4 linked regions of the Drosophila melanogaster genome follow. The protein of the gene in region 4 interacts with the protein of the main gene of each other region in a pairwise test. Each region holds a gene or a part of one and is shown on either strand. Other genes may lie near its edges. The genes, in order: Capr, Cyp4g1, Vha68-3 and CG4194.

What was found.
Region 1: the proteins of CG4194 (region 4) and Capr interact in a two-hybrid assay, tested with the Drosophila melanogaster proteins (one large-scale study listed by BioGRID).
Region 2: the proteins of CG4194 (region 4) and Cyp4g1 interact in a two-hybrid assay, tested with the Drosophila melanogaster proteins (one large-scale study listed by BioGRID).
Region 3: the proteins of CG4194 (region 4) and Vha68-3 interact in a two-hybrid assay, tested with the Drosophila melanogaster proteins (one large-scale study listed by BioGRID).

The regions. Positions count from the first base shown.
Region 1 is NT_037436.4:18,667,641-18,675,326, reverse strand, and holds Capr (caprin), read left to right. Parts: upstream 1-2,002; 5' UTR 2,003-2,315; coding exon 2,316-2,696; intron 2,697-3,654; coding exon 3,655-3,837; intron 3,838-3,892; coding exon 3,893-4,059; intron 4,060-4,138; coding exon 4,139-6,293; 3' UTR 6,294-7,174; downstream 7,175-7,686. Other genes in the region: GNBP2 (Gram-negative bacteria binding protein 2), read left to right, coding at 1-108, 350-782, 845-1,158, 1,223-1,279, 1,352-1,809; CG42495 (uncharacterized protein), read right to left, coding at 7,343-7,480, 7,534-7,679.
Region 2 is NC_004354.4:466,550-471,307, reverse strand, and holds Cyp4g1 (cytochrome P450 4g1), read left to right. Parts: upstream 1-1,972; 5' UTR 1,973-2,079; coding exon 2,080-3,750; 3' UTR 3,751-4,251; downstream 4,252-4,758. UniProt on the Drosophila melanogaster protein: May be involved in the metabolism of insect hormones and in the breakdown of synthetic insecticides.
Region 3 is NT_033779.5:12,977,049-12,981,829, forward strand, and holds Vha68-3 (vacuolar H[+] ATPase 68kD subunit 3), read left to right. Parts: upstream 1-1,737; 5' UTR 1,738-1,851; coding exon 1,852-3,000; intron 3,001-3,063; coding exon 3,064-4,146; 3' UTR 4,147-4,245; downstream 4,246-4,781. Other genes in the region: Vha68-2 (vacuolar H[+] ATPase 68 kDa subunit 2), read left to right, coding at 1-861, 929-1,021.
Region 4 is NC_004354.4:2,066,994-2,070,200, forward strand, and holds CG4194 (uncharacterized protein), read left to right. Parts: upstream 1-1,598; 5' UTR 1,599-1,613; coding exon 1,614-2,408; 3' UTR 2,409-2,695; downstream 2,696-3,207. Other genes in the region: CG4199 (uncharacterized protein), read right to left, coding at 1-1,430.

The sequences.
Region 1 (7,686 bases), on a different chromosome or scaffold from region 4:
TGCCATGTTTATTATTGCTCATTTCAAACAATAAAATCTTTGGTTTTAAAGTACCCAGTATTAATTTTGAAATGCTAAAGGATGAAGGATTCGAAGTGTCCATACCAGGTGACTTCTACAACACTTCTATGGTTAAATAAATAACATCATAAATGTCAATGGTTTGGCTAATTTATTCATATGGAAAAAGCTTTGAAGTGTATTTGAAAATCCACTATAGGTTCAATAGTAAAAACTACGTATATAAAACAAATAAATTGGTGGATTAGCAAAATCAGCCTAGACTAAGTCTTATTTGAATAATTACTTTTAGTAACGACACGTTGTTGCTTTTTTCATATCGATCCAGATGAGCCTGGCATACAGCGGGTGTTCTACATGTTCCAAATTGACGACACCTGCCCGGCTCTAATGGACTACATCACGGAGGCAGTGAACGGAAGTTGGGTCTCCAAGCAAAAGATGAGTCTGCAGAACAACGACAAGCTGCAGATATCAATGCTGGTGCAGTTCAATGAGGAAATCTTCGAAAAGAGTGAAACCAGGGTGATCATAAACACCCGGCTACTGACCACCAAAGACTCTAGCTCGCGAGGCATAACATTCCTTACAGGAGAGGGCGAGTGCCAGGCATACCTAGCTCCTGCACAGCAAGCCAAACGCTGCAAGGCCGCCCAAACGATAGTGAGCAATGGACGCCATACTTGCCAGGGTGAACTGATCTTTGAGGACAACTTCTCGGAGGCGCAGCTGAACAAGACCACCTGGAAGCATGACATCCGGTTAGTGAAATAAGTGGACTCATTGGATGTGTCTAAGATACTTATGTTTTACGACTTTTAAGACAGCGCATGTACCACGTGGAGGAGGAGCTGGTGGCCTTCGACGATGCCGCACGCAACTGCTTTGTGAAGGAAGGCGAACTCCATATCGTTCCCACTATCGCCACCGAGGTCACCGATGGCAGCTTCAAACTGGGAGATCGCTGTACGGCCGTCGAAAGTCCGGAACAGGAGTGCAACATTGCGCACGGCATCTTCTATAGCATCAAGCCTCCAGTTTTCTCCGCCCAAATTCACACCAGAAACTCTTTCAGTTTCAAATTTGGCAAAATCGTCGTGCGCGCCAAGTTGCCCAAGGGGGATTGGCTTTTCCCCTGTGAGTAGCATACTAACTTACCTTTTCTTGTTACGAAAACGGTTTAATTTTTAATTTATTTAAGATCTGATGCTCCAACCGGTTTCCACTTACGCGGAGACCCACTATGCCAAGCAATTGAGTAGGTTTCAAAAACTTCAAAAGCTCTAGGGTTTCCATTTTGTTGTATCCTAACTTTAAATCTTACTTTCAGGAATTGCATATGCCCGTGGCAATGCCAATTTGAGGACGAAACAAGGAGATGATATCTCCGGAAACCACTTATATGGCGGCGGTGTGGTTTGGCACCACGGCAATGCAGTACAGTTCCTCAAGGACAAGATAAGCAACAGCCACTACGGGGACGACTTTCACAACTACACCATGATCTGGCAGAGGGATAAGATTACCCTAATGGTAGACGATGAGGTTTATGGGGAGCTGTACGACGGACTGCCATTCTTCAACGAGAAGTGCTTTATTATCTTTGGCGTTACGGTGGGCGGCTTCCTGAACTTCGACGATAGTCTATTGGCCAAGGATGTCAAGCCTTATAAAAACAGGGAACCCCGGGCTGCCCTCTCATTTTGGCAGCACCGCGATGCTTGGGCCCCCACTTGGGGCAGGCACAGCGCCATGGTCATAGACTATGTTAGGGTTTATGCGGAGTAGCTGTGGCATTTGTCACCAAAATATAAATAAAGTACTTAAACATCAATCATCGCTTCATATTCAAAAAATGTTTCTAAAGTCGAAAGACATATCGATTATCGATACCAGGAATTGTGTTCTTACTGCAAAAGTTGTTAACAAGTAAATGCTTTTCAGAATTAACTTATTTCCTTCACAATCTCACAGTGTAAAAAGTGAACGAATTGAAAATTTACACGAAAAACATTTGCAACTCCTTACCACATTTTCCATATCGCACACTGCAATCGATTGTCGCCGGCAGCGGCAATGTGCATCGTATCGAACTGCTAGCCCAAGCGGCATCGATACTATCGAACGCACATCGGCCCGAAAGCCAGCTCTAGTTTTTTTTCCCCGAGAGGAGCAGACAAGCGAACTGGACTGGGAAACAGCAGCAGCAGCAGCAGTCGTTTGAATTGAATATCATTCCCCATTTCGAGCTAAACGTCGTTGAGAGCCAACCAGGAAGAATCCAACGGCGCACCATGCCTTCGGCTGCAAATACCGCTACTGTTACCGCTGCAATTGCCACCACCGTCGCCGCCTCAGCCAGCAACACCAACAACAACAGCGTCAGCAAGGAGAAGCGCTCCTCCATCATTTCGCTGGGCGGTTCGGTAATCCCAGGAACAGCAGTTGCAGCTGGAGCCGGAGTCGCAACCACCAATGGCCAGAGCAACAGCAGCGCGGCAGCGACAGCGGATGGCAGCCAAACGGATTTGGCGAGCAGCAACAACAATGGAAACGCTGCCAAATCGAAGGCGAATGCTGTGTCTGCCGCCGCCGTCGTTCCAGAGCCGTACAATCCGCTCAAGCAGCTGCTGGTGACCATCGAGCACAAGATTCGGAACCTGGAGAAGCGCAAGGTCAGTGTTTGGGAAAGTGCCGCAAAGGATCCCTTTATCGGCAGCATGGCCCACCATTTTTATTTTCATTCCTCCGTGTTGCTTTGTTTCGTTTTGCGCGCACCCCTTGCCCCCTTCCTACCCCTTGGCCTAAGTTCTCGGGGCTGGCAGATTTTTCGCGACGCCATGTTTTCTAGAGCACAGGGTTGCCGGATCGCACGGAGCGGCCGGCATGTCAATTAGAACCAGTCAAAAAATTACATGCTCCGATGTGCTGGGTTTTTTAAGCTGCTACCTTGCTCAGCAGAAAACGTTATTACATTTTATAGCACTTTTATTCCAGAAAGTTCTTGCATTCAAAAGCACACACTGTCGACAGCTGTGTTGCTGACGGGGGTGGCAACGTTATTTGCCGGCTCGTTTTGTTTATAGATTCGCACAATTAATATGATGAAAATAAAAAGTACATTTCAGCACGGGCAAGAAATAGAAATAAAATAGGATCATGCAACTATTTGGTACGAAATTGAGCTCACGTGTAATTTCTTTTTGTTACTACTGATACTACCTTCTTTAAGTTGAAATGCAGATTGTTTTAAAGTTTAAGGTTATTTGGTCACTGATCCGCGACAGCGTCAACTTTAATAATTTCATTTGGCAAGTTGTTGACGCAGTTTAAATATCGTCCACGTAAAGTTCTACCACATCGAATTGGAACATTTAATTAAAAACATCAAATAGTAAAAACCGCAAATCTTACGAAGAGGGCATTTGTAGCCATACAAAATGTTTGAAGCTCAATAAAATGTAATTTATAATGGAAAACCATAAAACTTTTCAAAGAAAAAATGAATGCATTAACGACAGCAATAAGCTTGTAAAGCTAGCACATTTCACATATATAGTATATATTTCTGATTATAAACGCTGCAGCCAAACAAATGTGACTAAAACTGACTCATCAATCCCTCTTATCTAGACCAAACTGGAGTCCTATCGCGCTATACAGAGCAGCGGAAAGGAACTGAGCGGGGACCAAGCTTCGGCAGTGGCCAAATACGATGCTGTCCTGGCCAATCTGGAGTTTGCCCGTGAGCTGGCCAAGCATATTCAGCAGCAGTCCAAGGAGGCCGAAAAGGAGCAGAAGAAGCAGGCGCGCAAGGTATGCTCGTTAAATTTCTAATTTTCGCTGATGTTCATTTTAAATTCTACCTAAGGATAACCTGGCAAAGACAATTGCTGAAACGGCCAAGATTCGGGAGGTTCTGATCATTCAGAACGTGCTCAACTGTTTCAACGACGATCAAGTGCGCAGCGATTTTCTAAACGGCGAGAACGGAGCGAAAAAGTTGGAAAACACCGAACTGGAATTGCTGGAGAAGTTGTACGCATCAACACGCACATTAAACGATTTCCCTTTGGTATATATTAAGCCGCAATCCATTTCCCTTTTTTTTTTTTAGTTTCATTGAGACGCAAACACGCCGTCCGGAAACCGCTGACGATGTAAGCTTTATTGCCACTGCCCAGAAGTCTGCCGAACTCTTTTACTCGACCATCAATGCGCGTCCGAAGTCTTTCGGAGAAGTGTCCTTCGAGAAGTTGCGATCTCTCTTCCAGCAGATCCAGGATAGTGGGTACCTGGACAAGTATTACCTTGTTCCACTGGCCGAGAACGCGGTAGCCAACAGCACGGATAGTGGAACTGGAAGTGGCGATGGAGAAAGCGGTGACTTGTTGAACGATGGCTCGGGGGAACTGGACGCGGAACTGCCATCTGAGCCATCGGCTCGAAACTCTTTGGAGGAGGGACTAGACAAGTTGCATTTGGGCGTGCAAGCAGAACTGGACCAGCATCAATCGTACCAGCAACAGCAGGAGCGTCCGAGCCATCTTCTGGAGCCGCAGCACCAGAGAGCTCCATCCCTGGAACATCAGCAGAACTCGATGGTGCAGCAGGTGTCGACCCAGGTCTACCAGGCAGCTCCTCAGGCCGGAGGAACCACCACGCCAGTGCATGTTCTATACGCTCCAGCGCCACCAGCCCAGCAGCAGCCCCAGCAGCCGCCGCCGCATCCTCACCAGCTGTTAAGCAGCCCCGTGAATCTCCAGGCCTTGCAAACAGGAACAGCTGCTCCACCAGCACAACAGCAGCAACCACACCCAACCCACTTTGCTCCAAATGTGAGGGCCGTGGAGCAAAACTATTTCAAGCAGCCACCGCAGCATCCTCAAGGTCCTGGAATACAGGCACCACAAACGCCCCAGCAGCAGCAGTTTATGCAGCATTCGCGCCCCTTGGCGGAGGTCTTGGGCACAGGACGCTTCCATTTTCTGCAGGACAGTGAACTGGACAATCCTGAGGCTTTAGCACCGCCGCCTCCGACCAATCAGGGATTGGTATTTGAGCAGCAGCCGCAACAGCCCAACCATGTCGAAGAACCAACGCAGGCCATACTGACGCTGACCTTCACCAACCAATCGTTCCCATCGCAGCAGCCCCAGCCCCAGCAACAGGGTCCGCAGCAGCAGCAGCAGCTTTTCTCGCCGGTGCTGATCCACGAGCAACGTCAACAGCCACCACAGCAGCAGCCGCAACCAATGCTGATTATGCCGCGTCTGCCAACCCAACAACCGCAGCAGCCTGCTCCTCAGGGCATTGGCATGCAGGCGGGCGATGTGACCTCAGGGTTCTCATACGAAAATGCTGTTGTTTCCTATGAACAGCAGATCCAGCAGCAGCTGAAACAGCAGCAACAACAACAGCAGCAGCAGCAGCAAAATCTACAGCAGCTGGATGAGCCGTCATCTGTGAACAGCTCCTCGAGTGTCGGTGCTGGTGGAGATGTCGAGAACAATGAATGGCATGCCCGTAATAATGATACAAATGCTGCCGCCACAGCAGCACTGACGAATGTGCTCAAAGGCGAGACCACCCAGGCCACGCCACCGGCACCGCCAACCAAGTGGAGCTCGGAGATGAATGCCATGAGTAGCGCCGCCTCCAATGGCAGCAGCAACACCAGCCACAAGCAGGAGTGGGCCACGCCCAGGGACCACAGCACTGGCGGAGGCAATAGCGGTTATGCCGATAACAACGAGAGTAACAACCATTGGAACAACTCGCAAGGAGACGGACGCCGCAACTCTGGCAATTATCAGCGTCGTGGCGGAGACAGGGATAACCGGGATCGCGATCAGGGAGGGCGAGGTGACGAGCGGCGCAACGGCGGCGACAGGGGCAACTACCGGTCGCGTCAATACGGCAACTCATCTAACACGAACGGACGCAATTCGGGCAATTCGAGCGGTGTGTACTTCCGCAACAATGAGTCGGGCAATGGTGGAGGCAACAACTACTACCAGAACGGAGGAGGTGGCGGTGGCACCTACAACAAGGAGTCGCGCTACGAATCCTCCGGCGGCGGCGGTGGAAGCTATCGAGGCCAGCGCGGTGGCAACCAGCAGCGTAATGTAAATGGCTCGTATGGCGGCGGCAGGCCCATGGGCGATCGTGGTCGTGGCGGAGCGGGCAACCAGGGAGGTGGTGGTGGTGGCTACATAAACCGTCAGAACCAGTCGCAACGCATGCCACTCGGGCTGGAGAACAAAAACTGAGCATACAATACGTATTAACCCCGCAAACAAAACACACATACAATTCATGCAAACCATAAACACAACCTCCATACAGAAAACAAGGAAACCAATCATCAACATGCAAGTAATGGCCACGTAGACGTACAATTATTGTTACGCAAACCACTCTCAACCATAAGAAATGGAAATCTATCAAAAAGAATCCTTTATAACGCAACTAGGGAATCGAAAATGAAGCCGACACACAAATCAATTCGTGCGCATTTTTCAATACGATTTATACCTATTTCCCTTGATTTTGGTTTATTCGATAATGTATTAATAATAAAACAAAATAGTTGTTAGAAACACGAAAGAATTACAACTAAATACAGGAAAGTAAGCGCTCCAAGGGTTTCTAAAACTCCCAGACAGGATAGGACAGGACACAACACTACTTCGTCCAAGGAAAACAAACGACAGATGGGCAAAACTTGTATGTAACTTGGATCTGCCATTTCTTGCTTGATTTTACTTTTTGTCTGTTTGGCTGCGTTGAAGCTGATTGATGATTACAGATGTCGAGAGAAAGAATATAAAAAGTATTTATACGTCTTAGCAATTAAATAACGATTCTGAATTATAAAAATTAATTACTATTACCTATATATATAAACGAAGGGATAAATATATTTATAGTTTGTGCTCTTACTGTCATGCTCTATCCCATTTCAACACCTTTTTTTGTTCTGCCAAACTTTTACACACAAACGATGAAAACAAAAATACAAAACCACGTAAAACATAATAGTTGTAATTATTGCCGCGTGAATGAAGAAGCGTGCACACTAACAGTGCATTATAAATGAAATGAAAACTATGTATTTGCAAAACAGTACATACATTAAACAAAAGTATATAAACCATTCGTTTTTTTGGACTAATTGGGGTTCCCAACATTTTTATATTTTAAAGTTACAAATGGAAAATTAAGTTTCTTTAACTATTTTTATCCCTGCTTCAGAAAGTTATATGGCAAATGAAAAATGTGTATAAAAGAAGCTAATCTTAAGCAAATCCCATTCCTACTATTCCATTTTGTCCTGCTTTTCGGACTCGACTGTTCCTCCGTCGCAAAGAAACCAAAGACCAGCCAGAATGAGAGTTATTCCGATGCCAGATAGTACTGTCAGTGGCTCCCGATAAACAAGCGCACCTAGGACAAACTATATAACGAACAGTAATCATAATTGAACAAATAGATCGGTGGATCACCTACCGATAAGACATAATTCGAAGCGGCAGTTAAAACGACGCACGTTAAAGTTTGTTCAGTCATTTGCAGGGCCTTCAAAAAGAAACGCAAGTTGCAAACGTTGCATGTTACCATTAACACTAGTGGCAGCAGCTGAAGTAATGCTATTTCTAATAA
Region 2 (4,758 bases), 1.6 Mb from region 4:
AACATGTAAATCAGTTACGTTGTAAGCAAGTATAAAGTATCAAGTAAGAAAATAGCTGGAAGGGCCGAAAAACCCAGGTACGAAATTATGTATGTAATTTATTTCGGGAAAACCTAACACCACCACCAACCAAAAGTAAATTCAAGGCGTTTAAAGTCCGTTGTAATGATTTGAACTATGTATGAATGTATGTATGTATGTATAATTGCTTAAGTCCTGCAATCAAAAGTCCAATAAAACTATTTTTACCATTTTATTCGCCAGTTGTTCGCAATTAGATATGTATTTGATTAGCATGACATTTATTAAAGTCTAGTTAGTATAATCAGTTATAAAACGATGGGTGGCACGTGGCTTTATAGGAGCAAATGCAAATTTTGCTCTCTTTTCATACTATGCATACATAGGTAGACATGTATGTATATAAAAGAGATCGAATTATGAAACAGTTATCTTTCATCTCTCTTTTGTTCCCTTTCCTTTTCCACTACATCAACTATCGACTGTTCGAGCTTTTAATCCCGTTACTTTGTTCTAAAGTTGCCTGAAATGTAACTTTATTTTGACTACACTCTGTGATTTCAGTTATTCCGGTCAATTTGGTGAGTGCAGTTTGATATTGGAGGCCTACATTCGGTTGGACTACGATTAGTGATAAAACGGCGAAATTAGTTAAAAACCATTGTTAGAGGTTTTCGTAGTGTGTTTTCGGTGTCGCTTACAGTTTTTGTAACTGTGGTTTCAATAAATGCTGTTAAATATCTGACGCAAATGTTCGGTGTAGCTTACGGTTACTTTTACATGTGATGTACATACATATGTACATATGTAAATAGCGGTCGTGTTATTTCATTGTATTAAATCAAGCAACAGAGGCAATTTATAAATAAATTAGAATCTCAGGTAAGCTATAGGCAACTTATTTTCAATAAATTGCTTATCATTTCAACATCCATAACCTTAATCATTGCAAACTATTACTAATAGGATTTCCTATAAACATAGACCTATGAGTATAACGTTAAATGTTATATGTTTAATTACTATGCCTTGCGCACGCGCTCAAATAATCAAAATGCCATAAAAATAAATGGTAATAAGAATCACTTATAAAAACAATCGGATAACGATGGAGGAGCTGGAGGATGTTGCGGACGAGGTCCACAAAAGAGACAGCTTCCTTTTCTTTGTCTGTGGCTTACATACTCTCTTGTTTACTCACTCGATATTTCCTTTTGCATACTTTTGCTCAGGTGTCGAGGACAAAAGCGCCGAAACCAAATTTAATAAAAAGCGAAAGCAAAACAAAGGAATATCATTAAAATGTCAGGAAGCGAGGCAAGAATCACCCACTTCCGCTCACCAGCAGGTAAATGCCGTAAAATACAGGTAGCCGAACAGCCAATGGCTGGTTTGCATATTCTAGATCCTGGCATCAAACGTACATCCGCAAGAAGTAGGGTTGGTGAAAGAGACAGTAGACACATTCACTTTTCATTCAAATGTGTCGCAAATTTCGCAAAAAATAGCTATTTTTAGAACTACGGAACTAAAAAGTTCGTTAAAAGAATTTTACGCTGTTGAGGTGTTTAAACGAACTGACGTCCAATGGAGGAACTCAAATAGTGTTATAAATGTTTTATTATTTAGTGCAAATAATGTTTCCTAATACTAGGATTCAATGTTTATGTTTTTAAAATGGAACCACGAAAGGATTTTAATTAATATACTATACCAAACGTAAAATCAAAGACAACCACGGACTTCGAAATGCAGTCATGTCTGCTTATACGGATCTACAATGACGCAGTGCAGGCATTGGTTCCAAAGGTATCACCGCAAGCGAGTACGTGACTTTGATTTGCTTTGCTAATTAGTGGGACTGGAAATCAAAGTGGCATATGCTTGACTTCAACCAGTGGCCCCAGAACTCTTGGAACCATATAAAATGTTGCATGTGGTCAATGGCGATTCACAGTTGAGCACTGGCGGCTGATATAGCAACAGTGCCATCTTCAGAAGACAAAAAGGATTTGCACCAGAGGACCAGGGATCAGGAGCAAAGAAGCAACAGCAACCATGGCAGTGGAAGTAGTTCAGGAGACGCTGCAACAAGCGGCGTCCAGTTCGTCGACGACGGTCCTGGGATTCAGTCCTATGTTAACCACCTTAGTGGGCACCCTGGTGGCCATGGCATTGTACGAGTATTGGCGCAGGAATAGCCGGGAATACCGCATGGTTGCCAATATACCATCCCCACCGGAGTTGCCTATTTTGGGACAGGCTCATGTGGCCGCCGGCTTGAGCAATGCCGAGATCCTGGCCGTTGGCTTGGGTTACCTCAACAAGTACGGAGAAACCATGAAGGCCTGGTTGGGCAACGTCCTGTTGGTGTTTCTAACCAATCCCAGTGACATCGAGTTGATCCTGAGTGGGCACCAGCACTTGACCAAGGCGGAGGAGTATCGCTACTTCAAGCCCTGGTTCGGTGATGGTCTACTGATCAGCAATGGACATCATTGGCGTCATCATCGTAAGATGATTGCCCCCACCTTCCACCAGAGCATCTTGAAGAGCTTCGTGCCTACATTTGTGGATCACTCAAAGGCGGTAGTTGCCAGGATGGGCTTAGAAGCGGGCAAATCCTTTGATGTTCATGACTATATGTCGCAGACCACGGTTGACATCCTGTTGTCTACCGCCATGGGTGTGAAGAAGCTTCCGGAGGGTAACAAGAGTTTCGAATACGCCCAAGCCGTCGTCGACATGTGTGATATCATACATAAGAGGCAGGTTAAATTACTGTACCGCCTGGATTCCATCTACAAGTTTACTAAGCTTCGCGAGAAGGGCGATCGCATGATGAACATCATCTTGGGTATGACCAGCAAGGTGGTCAAGGATCGTAAGGAGAACTTCCAAGAGGAGTCACGTGCGATTGTTGAGGAGATTTCTACACCTGTTGCCAGCACTCCCGCTTCCAAGAAGGAGGGTCTTCGCGATGATCTGGATGATATCGATGAAAATGATGTGGGCGCCAAGAGGCGATTGGCTCTTCTAGATGCCATGGTGGAAATGGCTAAGAACCCCGATATCGAGTGGAACGAGAAGGACATCATGGATGAGGTGAATACAATTATGTTTGAGGGCCACGATACCACCTCGGCGGGATCTAGTTTCGCCCTCTGCATGATGGGAATCCACAAGGACATCCAGGCTAAAGTCTTCGCCGAACAGAAGGCCATCTTCGGGGATAATATGCTGAGGGATTGCACCTTTGCCGATACCATGGAGATGAAATATTTGGAGCGCGTAATTTTAGAGACTTTGAGGTTGTACCCACCAGTACCACTTATCGCCAGGCGTCTGGACTACGACCTGAAGTTGGCCAGTGGTCCGTACACGGTTCCCAAGGGCACTACGGTCATCGTGCTGCAGTACTGCGTGCACAGACGTCCAGACATCTACCCCAATCCCACCAAATTCGATCCGGACAACTTCCTACCCGAGAGGATGGCCAACAGGCATTACTACTCCTTCATTCCCTTTAGCGCTGGACCCAGAAGCTGTGTGGGCCGCAAGTACGCCATGCTGAAGCTAAAGGTCCTGCTATCCACCATCGTGAGGAACTATATTGTCCACTCCACCGACACGGAGGCAGATTTCAAGCTGCAGGCTGACATCATCCTAAAGCTTGAGAATGGATTCAATGTCTCGTTGGAGAAGCGTCAGTACGCCACGGTGGCCTAGAATCCAGAAATCTAGGACCCCGACTACACACACGCAACCCCGAACCCGAAACCGGAATCCAGCCCTGTATATAGATGATGAATACCGATGAATATCCCAAACCGAAAACTTGATGACGAACTTATAAATCTAAAACACCGAATAAGAACCCAACGCACAAGCCAGCCAGAGAGTCAATTAATTTTTCTTTCGTTTTTTAACTCGTTACTTTTATATTTGATTAATACCTTTTTGTTTGTTGGTCTTTAGCGAGTGGTGCCCCTATATAATGTATACGTATATACTATATATCCTTTTAACCAACTATTCAACGCAACTGTTTGTGCTCTTCACCTTTTTAGTACTCCTACTTTTACCACTATCTATACTTTTTTTTCGTAGCCATGTAGTGTGATTTTTTTTCTTTATTCTAGTATTTATTAAGTCAAATGGTTTAAACGAAACCCAAAAAATATGAAAAATACACGTATGCGAGGCACGTAGCCGATAGAGCTGCAAAACAATTGTAATTGCACATCTTGTAATGTTCTCCTTCTGGGCGGTCGTAGTTTCTACGAACTTGGCTAACATGCCAAACTATAAGAAATTTGAATGCAGATAGACAAACCAAGTGAACAAGTCGACTTGGCTTATGATTCTGCGGTTTTCCAATCAACAAGTTAATGCGCTAATGCGAGGCAATCGACGGTTTGCAAACTGCTGGCAATGTCATAATATTGATTCAGGCCGCTGTCCTTGGCAAGGTATTTTCTGTTTTACTTTATTTCGCTCGCATTTTGGGTACCTGTTCATATTTGTTAGCATTATACTGATCTTAAGTCGACACCTCATTCGATGGGCGATTTGTAATGCGATTAATCGGATGCAGATTGCGATGCTGACAAATGCGAATGCTATTGTGTCGGAATCGGTAGCAGTTTATCGCGGGTTTCGCGGTCAATGAAAAGGAGGTGTATCGGAAATTCGTTAGCCTTCTCTTCTTGTGATTAGCTGAATTCCGCCGTTAGA
Region 3 (4,781 bases), on a different chromosome or scaffold from region 4:
GTCACCGAGTCCATCATGAAGCGTACCGCCCTTGTGGCCAACACCTCCAACATGCCTGTGGCTGCTCGTGAGGCCTCCATCTACACTGGTATCACCTTGTCCGAATACTTCCGTGATATGGGTTACAACGTGTCCATGATGGCTGATTCCACCTCCCGTTGGGCTGAGGCTCTTCGTGAAATTTCTGGTCGTCTCGCTGAGATGCCTGCCGATTCCGGCTACCCAGCCTACTTGGGAGCCCGTCTGGCCTCCTTCTACGAGCGTGCCGGTCGCGTTAAGTGCTTGGGTAACCCCGAGCGCGAGGGATCCGTGTCCATTGTCGGAGCTGTGTCTCCTCCTGGTGGTGACTTCTCCGATCCCGTGACCTCCGCCACTCTGGGTATCGTGCAGGTGTTCTGGGGTCTCGACAAGAAGTTGGCCCAGCGCAAGCACTTCCCCTCGATCAACTGGCTCATCTCCTACTCGAAGTACATGCGTGCTCTGGATGACTTCTATGACAAGAACTTCCCCGAATTCGTGCCGCTGCGTACCAAGGTCAAGGAGATCCTGCAGGAGGAGGAGGATCTGTCTGAGATCGTGCAACTGGTCGGCAAGGCCTCTCTGGCCGAAACCGACAAGATCACGCTGGAGGTGGCCAAGCTGCTGAAGGACGATTTCCTGCAGCAGAACTCCTACTCCTCGTACGATCGCTTCTGCCCCTTCTACAAGACCGTGGGCATGTTGAGGAACATCATCGACTTCTACGACATGGCCCGTCACTCCGTGGAGTCTACGGCTCAGTCTGAGAACAAGATCACCTGGAACGTGATTCGTGAGGCAATGGGCAACATTATGTACCAGCTGTCATCCATGAAGTTCAAGGTGGGTTAACACGCAAATTTATCCATTGCCTAGACACTGGGTGACCACATTTTTCAATCCATTTCAGGACCCCGTTAAGGATGGTGAGGCCAAGATCAAGGCTGACTTCGAGCAGCTGCACGAGGACCTGCAGCAGGCCTTCAGAAATCTGGAGGACTAGAGACCGCGCTGGCCCTACTTTTACACTCTAATCTTATATTTGTTATATAGTTAACGTTTAAAAATGAAAGCAGTCAAAAACCATCCGAAAAAGCCTAATCAAACACCAACAATTCCGTGCTGCATTCGATGAAAAACAAAAGTCCAACAAATACCACAACTTCTTGGTGCCTGCGAGAGATGTAAACATTCCGGCCTGCGGTTAATACTTTCCCCTAACCACGCCCCCTCCGCCCCTTGAAGGGCAACTCTAGGCAACAGCAACTACAACGTCCTGCTATGTACTTCCATTTACAACAACAACACCAACATACACTTGAATAAAAGTACACGGACACTGGCGCACACACAACACATACATAAAAGACACAAATACAAATGCATGCATAAATAGTATTATTGTTTAATGAATGGAAATTCTTGTTTATTTGTGAAAAAAGTCATGTTTTCTCCCTGTTTGTTTGTTAAATTTATGTAAATATTTAAAGTATGAAATATTAAATGTACGAATAAAGTGCAACAACAAATACATTTAATGTAATTGAAAGTGAATTTCACTGGCAGCAGAATGGATATTAAAAATGTGTCAACTCGATAAAAAGATAATAAGTTAAAATATTTTTTTGAATTTTAAACCTTCATTATATAAACATACTTGACTATATGAAAGCTAAGAAAATGGGAATATATTGAAAAGCATAATCTAAAATCCTATATCATTCTCAGTCATCACCTTAGTCTTTCCATAAACTTCTGCCCCATTTATTTTATTTATTTGACAATATTAGTAAAAATTGTACCAAGTGAAAAAATTGTATATATTTAAACCAAATGGAAAAGAAGTCCTGGGTTGCACCGCTTACCTCGTTCACCAACAGTAACGCAAGTAACGAAGACAGAGCCCGCAACTCGGGATCGTTAAACCAAGATGGGGAGCCAAGGTCCGTGCCTCACCCAACGGTTCCGGCTAAGAAGTGCACATGTCCAACCTGCGCTTGCCAACGTAATGACCATAAATCCAATCCGGTACCCCCTCCCCCTCAATCACGCAAGCCTGTAGCCGAGCCGGAAAGTCCCCATGATACAGTCAATGACGAGGACAGTTTGAAGGACTTGAGACGTTCGACGGACCAATCCCACAAGAGCGCTCACATCGCCTTGGAGAAGAATGAGGACTCGGGTTTTGTGATCGAGCAGGTGGTTGATACGCACAAATATTCGTCGGATGAAGAAGAGGAGGAGGCGACGATGGGTCGCATTTTCGGAGTCTCCGGTCCGGTGGTCAATGCCGAGGAGATGGCCGGCGCAGCCATGTACGAGCTGGTTCGCGTTGGACACTCCCAGCTTGTTGGTGAGATCATTCGACTGGAGGGTGATATGGCCACCATTCAGGTTTACGAGGATACTTCGGGTGTGAGCGTGGGTGATCCCGTCTACCAGACGGGAAAGCCGCTCTCCGTGGAATTGGGACCCGGCATCATGGGCAGCATTTTCGATGGTATCCAGCGACCATTGAGGTCCATCAGTGAACTAACCAACTCCATATACGTGCCCAAGGGCATCGATACGCCCTCCCTGCCCAGGAACATTGCGTACGAATTCACACCCGGAAAATTGAAGATCGATGCTCTGATCACCGGCGGAGACATCTACGGATCTGTTTTCGAAAACAGCATGATGCACGATCACCGCCTGATACTACCGCCCCGCACCAAGGGGCGCATCCGGTGGTTGGCCCCGCCCGGGAACTACTGCGTGGACGAGGTGATCGTGGAGACGGAGTTCAACGACGAGATCACCAAGCACACCATGCTCCAGGTGTGGCCCGTACGGAGGTGTCGTCCGGTGGAGGATAAGCTCCCCAGCAATTCACCACTCTTGACTGGCCAGCGCGTCCTGGACGCCTTCTTTCCATGTGTCCAGGGCGGAACCACTGCCATTCCAGGAGCGTTTGGATGTGGAAAGACCGTCATCTCACAGGTGAGAGGGTTTCTAAGAGTTTAGTTGACAAATGATTACATTCCAATCAACTTATACCCCTAGGCCCTGTCCAAATACTCCAACTCAGATGTCATCATCTACGTGGGCTGCGGTGAGCGCGGGAACGAAATGTCCGAGGTTCTTCGGGACTTTCCGCAGCTTGAGGTTGAGGTCAATGGCACCATGGAATCGATTATGAAGCGGACTGCCCTGGTGGCCAATACCTCCAATATGCCGGTGGCTGCCCGAGAAGCCTCGATCTACACGGGCATCACCCTCTCGGAATACTTCCGCGACATGGGCTACCATGTGTCCATGATGGCGGACTCCACATCTCGATGGGCGGAGGCGCTGCGTGAGATTTCCGGACGTCTGGCCGAGATGCCTGCCGATGCTGGCTATCCGGCTTACTTGGGAGCTCGGCTGGCCTCCTTCTACGAGAGAGCCGGACTGGTGAAGTGCCTGGGCAGTCCAGATCGTGAGGGATCCGTGTCCATTGTGGGAGCTGTGTCGCCTCCCGGTGGCGACTTCTCTGATCCCGTGACCTCCGCCACCCTGAGCATCGTTCAGGTCTTTTGGGGTCTGGACAAGAAGCTGGCCCAGAGGAAACACTTTCCATCGGTGAACTGGCTGCAATCGTACTCCAAGTACATGCGCACTTTGGACACTTACTACGAGGAATCCAATCCGGAGTTTACGCATCTGCGAGCTAAGGCCAAGAAGGTGCTGCAGGAGGAGGATGACCTGGCGGAAATTGTCCAACTGGTGGGCAAGTCGTCGTTGAACGAGGAGGACAAGATCACCCTTGAGGTGGCCAAGATGCTGAAGGACGATTTCCTGCAGCAGAACTCCTACAGTCAGTACGATGCCTACTGCCCCTTCTTCAAGACCATTGGCATGCTGAAGAACATGATGACCTTCTATGATGCGGCGATCCTGTCGGTGCAGAACACGGCGGACAATGAGGCGCGTGTAACTTGGGGCTTGATCCGTATAAAAGCCGCTAACATTCTGTACGAGCTCTCCACCATGAAGTTCATTGATCCCAAGCTGGGCGAAGCGACTGTCCTGGAGAGCATGAACAAGCTGCATGACAATATCCTTTCAACTTTCCGGGAGATAGAGGATAATGTCGAGGACTATTAGAAGTTGTGATGGATAAGTGAAGACTTAAATTATTGTATCGATTCGTATTTTAAAAATTAAAGTGCATCATCTGCCATAGAAATGTTACAAAGCAAAATGAAATATTAGTATTCCTATTTTTATATATTATTACAAAAGGTAAATGAAATAACGAATGTATATATAACAGATATTAGGACATTACAATCTCTTTGATAAAACTACGATTTAATTGAATTTTAAGAGAGAAGCCAACATTAGATAATCATAATCAAAAAAGTACTTACGTTTGCATGCGAGAGGAAACCACTTTGAACCGAACCACCACCGAACAGCGATTATCGAGTAGTAATTGCAGCCAACTTATCGCAATCATTTTCCAGTTGGTGAAAAGTCATTTACCCGCCAACGCGTTTTGCTCATTAGAAGCCATAATGGTGCATCGTCTGCCTGCTCTGAAAATTTCCACCCAGCTCCCCTGCGGATGCCAGCCGCAGTTAATCCTTTGCCCAACCTCGGCGGGAACGCAAAGGAGATTATAAAAAATTTGGTTGATTTATAGGAAAAGTTTGTTAATGCGCCAAAAGCGCGGCCACGCCCCGACAAAAACGGGAAAACGGAACGAATTTCCCAGCTCACACCTCTGGCAGCCGCAA
Region 4 (3,207 bases):
GAAGGGCACGGCCTCCAGCTTCTTTACCCCGCCGCACATGTTGATGGCCGCCACTCGTCCATGGTATTGAGCCAGCTGGTAATGCCCGATGTTCACGCGATCGTGGGCCAGCCCGTGAATGTGGGCGTTTGCTATATCACCGCCCACATACACATCGGGTACATTGGACTCCAGGAAATCAGTGACGTCCACGGATCCGTTACGATTTACCTTCACGCCCGACTTGGCCAGAAATTGGGTGTTGAGCTTGGAGCCAGTGCCCAAGATCAGCAGATCGCAAGGCAGACGCGTGTCATCTACCAGCACCACCTCTGATACCTTGCCGTCTTCGTTGCCAACGATCTCGGCGATGCCGCTCTCCATGCGCATGACCACCTTGTTGTCCTCGAACAGCTGGAGCACCCTCTGACCAATCTCCGCGCCGAATGCGGCCTTAAGTGGGACGTTTTCACGACCCACAACCGTGACGCTTTGCACTTTGGAGACCAACCCAGCAGCTGCCTCCAAGGCGATAAAGCTCGATCCCAGACAGACGACGCGGGACTCCGGGGTGATCGATGCCAATATCGCCTTTGTATCCGCCAACTCTCGGACAGTGCGGACGTTCTCCAAGTTAACACCGGGAATAGGCGGCCGGAAGGCGGAGCAGCCTGTGGCCAGGTAGATTTTATCGTACTTCACCACGTAGCCATTGCTGCAGTGCAGCTCTTTCTGAGCGGTATCCAACTTCTCGGCGGCGACTCCTTGCCACAGTTCGATATCGTACTCTTTGTAGAACTCCTCGTCGCGGAACCGCAGCTGCTCGATCTCAAGGTTCATAGCCTTGGAGATCTTAACGCGATCGTAGGGCAGATAGTCTTCGCGGCACACAAAGATTAGGCGCCCAGTAAAGCCCTCCTGTCGGATGGTTTCCACGGCTACAGCGCCAGAAGGACCACCGCCAACCACGATGAACACTCGCTGATCGTCGGGCTTGCGTCGGACCATGTTCTTGAGTCGCTTGTTATTCACCAGATCCGATCGCTTTGCACGGAGCATCACCTGTCCCTCGTTACCCACTTCCACGCGATAACATGGCAGGGAATCGAGACCAGGAAAGTCCTCAATGTCTCCGTTTTCCAGGTTAAAGCAAGCGCCGTGCCAAGGACAGCGGACACGACCCAAACCCAAAGCTCCAGTCTGGAGCGGAGCTCCGTAATGGGTGCACTTAGCACCCACTGCTAGCAGACGATCGTTCTGCTTCACGAGCAGCACGCGGGTGTCCTCATCGAAGTCCACCTGCTTCATTTCGTTCTCCTTCAGATCCGTAACTCTGCAGTCCACGGGGACCGCACTTGTGTACTCCGAATCCGGCGAAGACTCTTCCGTCGACATGGTTGTACTGGGACTCTGGTTGCTGCACTTGGACTGGTAGGAACCCACGGCACCACCTGCCGAAGCCATCATGTAAAGAGACAAGCAAAGAGAAACGGAGATAACAATACAGATAAGAAGAGTGTGTAGGTGAATGGACACATCAAAATTTTCCAGTTTTTCTCCAAGGGTCCAAGGGAAATTCTGGCACCGCTTGCTGCTCAGGTAGAAACAACAAAAAACGAATATCAGTCGAGAAAATGCTTCGCTCGCGTTCAGAAGTCTTTGTGTGTTTGCTTATGATCCTGGGATCAGTTCTGGTCCGTTCGAATCTTGGGAATCCTCAGGAACTGGAGCTAAGTGCGCTGCGCACCCACAAACAGCTATTGCAGGCGGAGATCGCACGTCTTTTTTTAGAGCAGCCGCTTCGAGCGGAAACTCAACTTCTGCTGGAAGATCTACAGCTAAGAGATCATCAAATAGGCGTTCAGATAGAAAAGCTCGAGGAAATCTCCAAGGGCGAGACCACGCAGAGGCTGGCCATCAATCTAACGGCTGACTTTGAACACCTGCAGCATAAATTGGATGATTTGAAACGACAACTTGAGCTGCTCGACGGACGCTTTGCCTCCCAAGGGAAGCAACTGGAAGGACACTCGTCGGAAGGCGCATCGCCGGCTGGCCCCGGATTAGGTTCCTTTTTGTGGGGACCCTTGCTGACCATGCCAGAGTTTCCACAGGGCAGTGTGGCCAGCGACCAGCAACATAACCACCACCAGCAGGATCATTCCCCGGATCCGCAGCAGGATTCCAGTCCCTCTATCATTAAAAGAGTGCTGGACATGCTTAGGCCATCCATAGGAGTATCAGGTCTGCGGAGTCGTTGGACTGAATCCGCAAAATCAGCTGCAACGGGCTTGGCAACACCTAAGCCCACTCACCCACTTAGTGCTGAGGAGCTCCTACCGCAGCTGCAGGAGCAGCGCAGGTTTCTGGACGATGCTATTACGCGACTGGAGCTCTTGGCCGTCAAGAAGGGCTCGAACAAAAACTAAAATATGTGGAAAATCTAAGTAAATCAAACACTTAAATCCATCTATCCAAAAGTTGAGCTTTGAGATTAAACAGAGGATCAATATTTATTTACTTAAATTGCCAGAGATCATCATTCATAACCAGATTCGTTGAGTCACTGTCAAAAATTCAGAGAAATTATACTATACCAAATAAGTAAAGTTCGTTTCATAATGATTTGTGACCATTTCCGAAAACAATTGAACTAAAATTAGATTGAACAGTCACCTTAATGAAAAGTCTAAAGCAATAAATACTAACTATCTTTAAAACCATGATATGTAATTGTAAAATTGTGTGTGTCAGGGCACTTATTTTAAGCAACACCGAGGATAGGGTAGCAGCTGCCTAATTGCCATCGATGGTTACCTGACCACAACAAAGCGGATCCTAGCGACAAGTCCGAATCGATTGACTCATCCGACCTACTGCAATGTCACGTCAACTAGGCATACCTAAGAACCTCAAGTTGCTACGTCATCAAGAAAAGCCAGGCGGTGAGGAAAACACCTATTGTATAAAGCGTAACCGTAACACCTGTAAACGTGTGTCGGTTCTGTTCTGATATGGCGATAATGTCTACACGCCCCTATCTCAAGTGACTGGCTTTATGATGTATGGTAATATGGTATCGCTGGTATATGTATCGCCGATATGCCCATGATAGAGGAGCTGATGATTCGGCTTTTTGCGGACGGAGGCGTGCTGATCGGAAATCAAACATTTCCATCGAAGCAGCAAACATGAAAAACAGCAAGTCATGAATTACCCAGCGAAACA